Arabidopsis thaliana: one gene and its partner. The protein of the gene in region 1 interacts with the protein of each later gene in a pairwise test. Each region holds a gene or a part of one and is shown on either strand. Other genes may lie near its edges. The genes, in order: GOX2 and AGT.

Evidence for each region.
Region 2: the proteins of GOX2 (region 1) and AGT interact in a two-hybrid assay, tested with the Arabidopsis thaliana proteins (one large-scale study listed by BioGRID).

Annotation. Positions count from the first base shown.
Region 1 is NC_003074.8:4,816,744-4,821,822, forward strand, and holds GOX2 (Aldolase-type TIM barrel family protein), read left to right. Parts: upstream 1-1,554; 5' UTR 1,555-1,793; exon of another isoform or gene 1,794-1,833; intron 1,834-1,907; 5' UTR 1,908-1,923; coding exon 1,924-2,060; intron 2,061-2,159; coding exon 2,160-2,284; intron 2,285-2,395; coding exon 2,396-2,442; intron 2,443-2,560; coding exon 2,561-2,638; intron 2,639-2,715; coding exon 2,716-2,840; intron 2,841-2,944; coding exon 2,945-3,029; intron 3,030-3,141; coding exon 3,142-3,204; intron 3,205-3,289; coding exon 3,290-3,359; intron 3,360-3,447; coding exon 3,448-3,548; intron 3,549-3,635; coding exon 3,636-3,740; intron 3,741-3,819; coding exon 3,820-4,005; 3' UTR 4,006-4,263; downstream 4,264-5,079. Other genes in the region: AT3G14410 (Nucleotide/sugar transporter family protein), read right to left, coding at 1-76, 173-285, 405-439, 537-644, 1,008-1,109; GOX1 (Aldolase-type TIM barrel family protein), read left to right, coding at 5,061-5,079.
Region 2 is NC_003071.7:5,538,117-5,543,345, forward strand, and holds AGT (alanine:glyoxylate aminotransferase), read right to left. Parts: upstream 3,294-5,229; 5' UTR 3,119-3,293; intron 2,820-3,118; 5' UTR 2,787-2,819; coding exon 2,297-2,786; intron 2,214-2,296; coding exon 1,847-2,213; intron 1,728-1,846; coding exon 1,517-1,727; intron 1,439-1,516; coding exon 1,301-1,438; 3' UTR 908-1,300; exon of another isoform or gene 898-907; intron 820-897; 3' UTR 624-819; downstream 1-623. UniProt on the Arabidopsis thaliana protein: Photorespiratory enzyme that catalyzes transamination reactions with multiple substrates, including asparagine. Functions exclusively as a catabolic enzyme in Asn metabolism.

The DNA of each region.
Region 1 (5,079 bases):
GACATTATCAAAAGCATCCTGCAGCTCATCATTTCAAGTCCAGCAGCTACTCCAAGAATAAACACAGCAACAGGCACTGCAAGTATGGTTGAAGAATACTGTACATTGTTAGTCAGATATAAGAAGTAAACATAAGACTTATGAGGAACCAAGAGCATGAACAGTTTCTTACTTATAGCCTTCAACATCTGCGCAAATGCAACTGATATGTAGAGGTAGGCAGTGTTTCCCAACCAGAGGGTCATTGCAAACATTGCACCTATTGGAATAACTGACGTAACATATCTGAGTACATAAAGTGAGTTAATACTGCTACATTGATAAAATTAGTAAAGATATTTATGTTATGGGTATTTTCGACTACTCCAAAATCAAATTCCTTACGAAGTCTCTTTCTTCCTTACATTTCTAGTGTCATTCCTTCCTCGACCTTCACAATCTTCATGGAGAAATAAATAGAGAACAGAGAAGGGACCAAAAGTTAGGCAGTCTTTACTTGTGAACAAAAACAGAAAGAACATTAATTGCAAGATTACCTTAAGAACTTTGGTAAGAAGAAAGCACAAGACAGAGGAAAAGATCATATGGAGTAAAGTCAATCCAAGAGGATAAGGGAAATTAATTTCCTTAGATGACAAAACCCACTGCAGCAGAGCAATTCAAAGACAAAAACGTTAGTCATGACGAAAAGAGAGAAACCACAATCTATGAATCGTTACTTGCTACAGATTGTAAAACGGTGAACTCTGATGCATAAGCAATAACAGAGAGGTCAAAAGCAAACACAACACGATCAAACAAAAGCAAACGGATGTTGAATTCTACACAACCGAGGGATTCTAAAATCTGCTAGTCAACTTCCTAGAAACTAGCACAGTACATTGCACATACCAGCTCAATTCCTTACGAAAACTAGCGATCGGTTTCTACAAATCGAAAGAGCACAAAACAATACGATGCGAGAACATAGATCCAGGGAAATATAGATTGTGAGATTTAAGGTAAACCTTATTGAAGAAGATTTGACCACTAGAAAGAGCGATATAGAGAAGAATGTAAGCATAGGTCACGAATTCAGCTCTCATAAAGCCTTTGCTCCGATCCGCCATTGAAACCGATTATTATGATCTCAGATTACGGAATAAAAGTTGTCGCTTCTGGTTTTTATGTAACACTTTTCCGAGTGCTTTTTGTTTCTTTTCCAATCGTCTTCTCCTTCACTGAGTATTTCACTTTCCCATCTTCTCAAATTTCAACAACAGCTAAATAAGAGCGACGGTGACGACTTTAAGTGGGTCCCACTTTTTATTATCCTCTCTCATTTTATGGGCTTTTCTCACATTTAAAGCCCAAATACTGTTGGGTTTATAAGCTATTGTTATGTTTCGTCAAGCCCATGAATTTGGTTCTACCTCGCACACTTTTTTTTGTTTCAGTTTCATCATCCACCCTTGGATATATGTCCAATGAAAAGAAATGAAAATTATTAAGTATTTTTTCTCGAGATTGTGAACGATAATATGAAAGAAATGTAAGGAACACACAAGTTGCTTGTGGATTAGACCACAACCCATCTGATATTTGTCCGCATCTCCACAACCATTCTTCACCTCCAACTTCTCATCCATATTATAATCCAACTTGCCAATAATTTTTTCAACTGTTACAGATTACTACATCAACGAAATATTAAACATTTAACCATATATAAAAGTTGGAGATATATGATATAAGCTTTTCTTAGCAGTCCCACCCTTCCTCTCTCGAGAGAGCTCCATTCCAATCAAAGCTGTGTAAGATTCTGTGTTCTAGACCAAACAGAGACGCGTCTGTGTTCTGGAGATTATAAACATATGTCTGATAATCACAACTGATAACTAACTCGGGGTTTTTTGCTCTTTTGACAGAAACACACTTCAGAAGATGGAGATCACTAACGTTACCGAGTATGATGCAATCGCAAAGGCGAAGTTGCCTAAGATGGTATATGACTACTATGCATCTGGTGCAGAAGATCAATGGACTCTTCAAGAGAACAGAAACGCTTTTGCAAGAATCCTGTGAGTTTTTCTTTTCTTAATAAGATAAGATACACTTTTTGTTATTGGTTTTCACAAGAGAACTGAGTTTGATGTACATAACTTGGGATGTTTTAACAGCTTCCGGCCTCGGATTTTGATTGATGTGAACAAAATTGATATGGCGACTACCGTCTTGGGGTTCAAGATCTCGATGCCGATCATGGTTGCTCCTACTGCCTTTCAAAAGATGGCTCACCCTGATGGTAAAAGACGTTTTTCTTTTTTCCTGAAACAGTCATTTCTAGAGAGTTAAAACTTGTTTTAGTATCACTAGAGACAAAGACTGAGGCTTACTCTAATGGAAACTAATGCAGGGGAATATGCTACGGCTAGAGCTGCGTCTGCTGCTGGAACCATCATGGTATGTTATTATATTCAAAAGAAGATTTTAACCGTCTTGGTGTTTATAGCTGCTTAATCCACCAATCCATGCATAACCAAGTTTCTGGTTTGAGTTATTTTCTTCCATGATGTTTCAGACACTATCTTCATGGGCTACTTCAAGTGTTGAAGAAGTTGCTTCCACAGGGCCAGGAATCCGATTCTTCCAGCTCTATGTAAGTTGCTTGATGAACAATTCTGATATACCTGTGGTCACACGTGATGGTTCACACGTTATGATTGTTCTGAGTAGGTATACAAGAACAGGAAGGTGGTTGAGCAGCTCGTGAGAAGAGCCGAGAAAGCTGGGTTCAAAGCCATTGCTCTCACTGTAGACACCCCAAGGCTAGGTCGCAGAGAGTCTGATATCAAGAACAGGTAAAGCCACATCAATTGAAATGTGATAAGAGTTGATTAGACTCGAATATGCAAACATATAGCTAAACAATTATAGAGTAACGATGTGTGTTCTTCTACTACAGATTCACTTTGCCTCCAAACCTGACATTGAAGAACTTTGAAGGTCTTGACCTTGGAAAGATGGACGAGGCAAGCATCGATCAGATAGTATCCATTACTTAAGTCTGAATAGTGTCAATGATCCACTTAAAAACTAGCTTTAAAGCATACGGTTTGTTTCCTGATTATGTTCCTAAACTTGTTATGTTTCCACCTGCAGGCCAATGACTCTGGCTTGGCTTCGTATGTTGCTGGTCAAATTGACCGTACCTTGAGCTGGAAGGTAAGAGAATACAACAAATTTTCAGATACCACAGCAAAACCAAAAACTTGATTCAGATTGCTCTAACTTTCATCTACAAAAACAGGATATCCAGTGGCTCCAAACAATCACCAACATGCCAATTCTTGTCAAGGGTGTTCTTACAGGAGAGGATGGTGAGTTTCCATTTGCCAAACAAATAATTTCAACACTCTAGTGTCATAGAAATACCTGACAAGGTCAACTATTATTGTCCCCATGCAGCAAGGATAGCGATTCAAGCTGGAGCAGCAGGGATCATTGTGTCAAATCATGGAGCTCGCCAGCTTGATTATGTCCCAGCAACAATCTCAGCCCTTGAAGAGGTAGATCATTCTCGACTACAAACATAAATCTGTGTTCTCGATAAGTATTTATGTACAAGCACATTAGCTTTGTTCTCTTGTGTTCAGGTTGTCAAAGCAACACAAGGACGAGTTCCTGTCTTCTTGGATGGTGGTGTTCGACGTGGCACTGATGTCTTCAAGGCACTTGCACTTGGAGCCTCTGGAATATTTGTAAGCATCACATCATATATCCATTCACCAGAAAGTTGCTTAAAAACAGTAAATATTTAAAATGCCTTCTCAATCTCAGATTGGAAGACCAGTGGTTTTTGCACTAGCTGCTGAAGGAGAAGCCGGAGTCAAAAAGGTGCTTCAAATGTTGCGTGATGAGTTCGAGCTAACCATGGCACTAAGTGGGTGCCGGTCACTCAGTGAAATCACCCGTAACCACATTGTCACGGAATGGGACACTCCACGCCATTTGCCCAGGTTATAGAGAAGAAAAAAAAAACAGAGAACAGAAACAACACGGCACCAAAACGTATTCATATTCTGATTGATCACTTTGCTTCTACTCTGCTATATTTATATCTCGAAAAACTTGTTTCTCCCTATATCGGATCACAAAAACGTGCGTAGAGATTCTCTGTAATGCTATTTGGCTACATTTTACCTTTCCGTTTATTCTTATTGCTTGTACAATAGATGTTGATTCCTACAATACCAATGAATACTAAAATCTGTTCCCGGAAAACTAGTATAGTCAGAAAATCTTACATTGCACCCAACTTCCACAATCCAAACACAGTTCAAATCTTATATTAACAGCAGCCAAAACCTCACAGAAACTAGCTACCAAAAGAGCACAAAAGAATACTATAGGAGAACTCAGATTAAGGAAAGACAGGTTTGTGAGATTTACAATACCTTATTGAAGAAGAATGTAAGCGAATTCATCCTTCACTTTGTGCTGGGCTAAGTATTGCATCGAAAAGCCCAAAATAATTTGGCTCACGAATTCGAAACTCTTGGATTTATGCACTTTTCTGAAAAAAAAAGAAAAACGATTGGTTTACGAATTACTACTATTTTTCTACGAGATTAAGAACGATAATATGTAAGAAAAATCTAAGACACACACCATCCATCAGATTTTTGTCCGTATCTCCTCATCAATTCTTCACCTCCAGCTTCTCATCCATATTTCTTTCTTTCCAATGCAAACAAGTTTTCAACTGTTAAAAGATAAACCAAAAACTCACAAGCCAATTAATCTATCAGAAATATTTAACTTTTAACCAAATAAAAACGTTGAGATATATATAATATAAGCGTTCCTTACCACTCACACACTTCATCTCTCCCCAGAGCTCTATTCCCATCAAGGTGTGTGAGATTCTCTGCTAAGACAAACCAAAAACCAGATTGTTTTGCGTTCATGGACATGTTCCTCTCTGGAGATTAGAATCGTAGCTATGACTATGTCTGAATTTCACAAGAGGTAGCTAACTCAGGCCTTTTTGCTCTTTTGACAGAAACACACTTCGGAAGATGGAGATCACTAACGTTA
Region 2 (5,229 bases), on another chromosome or scaffold:
GATTGACTTATGGAAGTTCTGTTTAGTTCTATGTGCGTTCTAAGAAAGTAAAAGATTGCTAGTACAAAAAACAAAATAAAAATAACAAAACTTACGAGTTCAAATTGATAGTTAGAATTCTTTACGTCCACTAAAACCTTTGCTCCAACTTCTTAACCCATCCCTTTCCATTTTGCTAGGAATATCGGTGAACTGTCTATGGTAGAATCTTTTAGGCATGGTCAAATCATACTTATGATCATATGATATGGCTACAAATTTTTTGTCAATGTCCATATATAGCCATATTAGTTGATTGAATAAGAATAAGTGCTATTATGTCTAAATATTTACCGTTGGTTTGCTATGGGTTTACTCTAGCTATCCGTACGTACGTAGCCATGGTTCATAAATAACGACGTCCAATTAGTTAAAATCAATATACTTAACCCAATCTTTTTTAAAAGAAAATGCTATGCAGTGAAAGTATTCATCATGATGTATAAAGATTAAATCTGTTGAGTAATAGCGTATCGAAACTCATTGATAATTTAACTCAATTTTTTTAGGTTTGGCCAAAAGTTGGGTGTTACATAACGTTCATACAAAAGAAGAGATAAATCTATTTTGTCAATGGTCAAAGTGTTTAAACTAAAAGCGTTAAGACGCAAATACATTTTAAAGAATTTCAATATTTCTTATTAATATGGAGGTTGTATATGCAGAACATTGTGATTACTGACTAGGCATAAGAAAGCATCAACAAGAGTTTCCTTTTGTTGTCACAGATAAGACCCCTCTTGAAATAAGTCTTCTTGATTCATACCGCCAAATGTAGACCTTATATCTCAGTCGTCTTCGACTTCATACCGCGAAATGTAGACCTTATATCTCAGTCGTCTTCGACTTCATACCGCCAAATGTAGACCTTATATCTCAGTCGTCTTCGACTTCATACCGCGAAATGGGACACCTTCTCCCGACTATAGTGTCTTTAAACCAACCTCCATATAAATGGATGAGAGATCAAAATTATCTTTTTTCACTTGACGATCGAGTATCCTCATCCCAAACATAGTTTTAGACTCGAGTTATGTTCCACTAACATTGTAAGAGCATCCCTCATACCCATATAAGTTGAAGTTGTTGAGACAAAGTTTATAGTGAGTAATAAACATATTTGATCTTTTGTTCAATAAGTTTGTTGGAGATAGCAAATAAAAACATAGATAATGTAGTAAAAATATAGATGAAGAAAAGAGAAAACATGAGAGTTTGTTTACATTGAGAGGAAGAGAAAGAAAGAGAAGGACCACATGGATTAGATTCTAGAGGGAATGAGAGGAATGTGGTGCTGAAGATAAGTAGAGGCAGCTGCAACTCCACTTCCCATTACAACTGGGTATCCAACATCCTTCAGTATCATCTCCACTCCCGCAAGACACCCGAGAAGTTGCAACTGCGTTCGATTTGTATTGTTTGATAAGAGTTTGGTCAATGAAAATTGGATTACACTAAGATAAATCTCGATATGTACCTCATTCACATTTCCTAGGTGTCCAATTCTGAAAACCTTTCCAGCCACTTTGTTGAGACCAAGACCAAGACTTAAGTTGTACCTCTGCCATGCCCTTCTCACAATCTCCGAACCGTCTATATGCGGAGGCACCATAACTGCTGTCACTGTGTTACTTATCCATTCCTCCTTCTGTGTGCAGTTTTTCAGCCCCCATGCTTCCACCGCAAGCCTATGTACATGATCATTAACAATCAAACTCTAGCTATAATGTTTTCCAAAGTCAATGTACTAGTAAGAATCAAGATTACGAAGAGGACTAAGTGTATTCATTTTATATGATTCATTTACCTGGTGGCCTTTCCCAAACGAGCATGGCGGGCGATGATGTTCTCAAGTCCTTCCTCAAAGATAAGATCAAGAGCAGCTCTAAGACCGTAGAGAAGTTGAATGGAAGGTGTGTATGGCCAATAGGTTCCTAGCTTGTAAAACTTAAGGTAGTCATTCCAGTCAAAGAATACTTTGAGAGATTTAGAAGTTTTGGTAGCTTCCAAAGCTTTAGGACTGGCGCAGACAATACCAAGTCCTGTTGGAAGAGATAAGGCTTTCTGAGACCCAGTCAAGGCCACGTCCACTCCCCACTCATCCATTCGGAAATCAAGCGCGCAGATGGACGAAACACCGTCCACTAGCAGCAAAGCCGGATGCTTGTAGTGATCTGTATGTAAACCCTAATGTAAGTGAGATTTAAAACAGAGAAAACACAAAAGAAAAACAGATTATTTGTGAGGAATTAATGACCGAGGAGTGTGCGGACAGCAGAGATGTCATTGGTAACTCCGGTCGCGGTCTCGTTGTGGACAATGCAAATGGCTTTGATGGTATGATTCTCGTCTTGTGAGAGCTTTGAGGCCAAGACTTGGAGATTAGCACCTTGTCCCCAATCACTCTCAACCACATCAACATTGAAATTAAGCCTCTTCTGCTGGTCAATCCAGAGCAAGCTAAATTGTCCAATCAGAAACGAAACAATCCTGTCTCCAGGAGATAACGTGTTGGTCAAGGCACTCTCCCAAGCACCAGTCCCGGTCGTGGGAAACAGAAAAGGTGTCCCTGATGTGGTCTTGAATATCTTCTTAACATCCTCCAACAATGTTTTCGTAAGCGCCGGAATGGCTGGTGACCGGTAATCCTCGTTGTTCCGGTTCATCGCCCGGATTACCGGTTCCGGTATGTTCACTGGTCCTGGTACAAACAGATGGTGTCTCCCTGGTCCATACATATAGTCCATTTTTTCCTCTTTTCTTTTGGATCCTCCTCTACACTGTCAAAAACTTACAAACTCACAATCTCATCTTTCACCAGATAATCGAATATAACTCAAACATGTAGCCATATGCATATATGACCATGTAATATGTACTATTGCTACTATCAACTCCGGTGAACAATAACAAATGTTATTTTTTTTGTTAATAACAATAACAAATATGTTAGCCGATCATATTTCCAATAAGACAACATATATGTGTACTATAAAAAGATGTTTCATAGGCAAGATCATAGACACAAACAAGCGGAGAAAACGAAGAAGTAAATTTGCAAGGAAGAGAGAAGTTTAACCTCTGAATAAGGCGGAAGCTCCTGAGGGAGGTTTTGGACTCCTTCGTCTTCACAAACCTCTTTAATATATCTTCTTCTTTTTCTTTTTTTTATTTTATTTATTTATTTTAAATTACATGATGTTTTTGTAAGTAGTTTATTTTGTTATTTAGTTTATCCCAATCAAGTAGCTTGCCTTATTGGAATCTTGGCCGCGTGGCAGATAAGAGCAACGTGAAAAATCTTTGAGCTTACGTATGGCTCACAATGCATTTGTGTTACCTTTGCATATTTGCCCTTCTTCTCTCTTATATTTTTCAGTTTTTCCACATTAGTTTGTTTTGTCGTGTTCAAAATAATAATAATCAAATCACTCTTTTTTTTTAATCAGAGATCAAGACTCTCTTACCACTGACTAATCTTCTTAAAAACTCTTGGTGAGTGTACCCGCCGTATAACCCGCTTACTAAATTTGTTTATTGACGAAGAGTGTATTTAATCTAGTATTTTAAGTGATTTGTGTAAAATTTACAAATTTTATGTTATCTAATTATGGATTTTAATAATTTTAATAATAAAATTTAGTGTTATTAAACTAATAATTTAAAAATTTATTGTTATTGAAAACGGTTTGTCAATTTGATTCTTATTAATTTTGAAAGATTGGAGAAGATTTGAGAAAAACATTTTAGTTAAAAATATAGAAATCCAAATTATACGGTTTTAGATGAAATTTGAAAAGATTTTATAAAAATTCGTATCAACTTTCCTAAAATCATCAAAATCATATAAAAACTCAACTAAAACTCAGATCATTTTCCAATACATCTCCTAAAAGCTTGGTATCCTTTGACTAGACATCATCTTTCATAGTTAATTTCTTACCAAAACTATATAATTGAGTTCAATTACAAGGCTCAGATTTTGTTTAAAGATGAAAGCACTTAAAAACATTAGTCGAAATAAAATAAAAAAATTGGAACCATGATAATAGTATTAGTAAGTCATGCATACATGCAACCTATGTTTACTTAGCCACCACATTTTTTTCTGTAAAATTCAGAATGAAAAAAGGATGATAGTTGGATAAACCAAGAGGTTCTTGGTCTAATAGTTAATTTGAAAGATGAGAATTTTGATTCGAATCCACTTAGTAGGAAAGTTGTTTCCAAAAAAGGTTCCGAACGGTGATCGAACCGCATTGTGCGGTGCAGTGTATGTAGATATTTTCGTTACTATTAGAACTGCATTGTACTTTATCCGCAGTTGAACTGCACGTTACTATTCTGATCCACGAAGATTAGGATCCATCACGAATTTTTTGGCAAAATATATATTTATATAATGAGAGAGTGGGGTGGGAGACGGAGTTGACTTTGAAAAGGTTTGGGGATAAAACAAAATATATAATGGAATTAGGGAGGGATATTGTAATATAAGAAAGTAAGAAAGATAAGAGGTGGAAAAGGGAAGAGGAGAGATAAGGAGATAAAAGGGAGAGAGCCACACAACCTGTTTTTGCAACAAAGACCACACGACCAAACGCCGAATCCTCGGGGCACTTCTTCACTATCTCTCGCTCTCTTGTTTTATGTTTAGGATTATTATTGCACTAGACGACACATAATTCAAACTATATTTAGGTGAATATCTATTGAATGTATAGAATATGGAGACTTTGTAAAATACAAACTATATTTGGCCATACGATTAGGATGTTTGAATTTCTTTTGCATAAAAAAATTGGTTAGAAAAACAAGTTAGAATACAACTCTTTATTACTCAACATTGGAGATATTTAAATGCAAATAAAAGTATATGGAATCATTTTGTTTTAGTGTTTCCACACTGAGATAAAATCAACCTAGCAAAGTAGCAATAAGGTGTCTAAAACAAACATGATCAATGAAAGTCATAACCCTCAACCTATGACCAAGAATATGCATGTTTTGTTGGATCAATGCGAATCCAGAGAACAAACTGTCGACTTGGCAGCTAGAAGGCCCTCTCGAGGGTGATGTCAAGAGCATAATATGTTAATATAGATAAATTCCTAAAGAAATTTTACCTACGTAAATGCCAAGAAAAAACTTCAAGACCCCAAAATCCTTTATGTGAAAGCAAGCCATGAA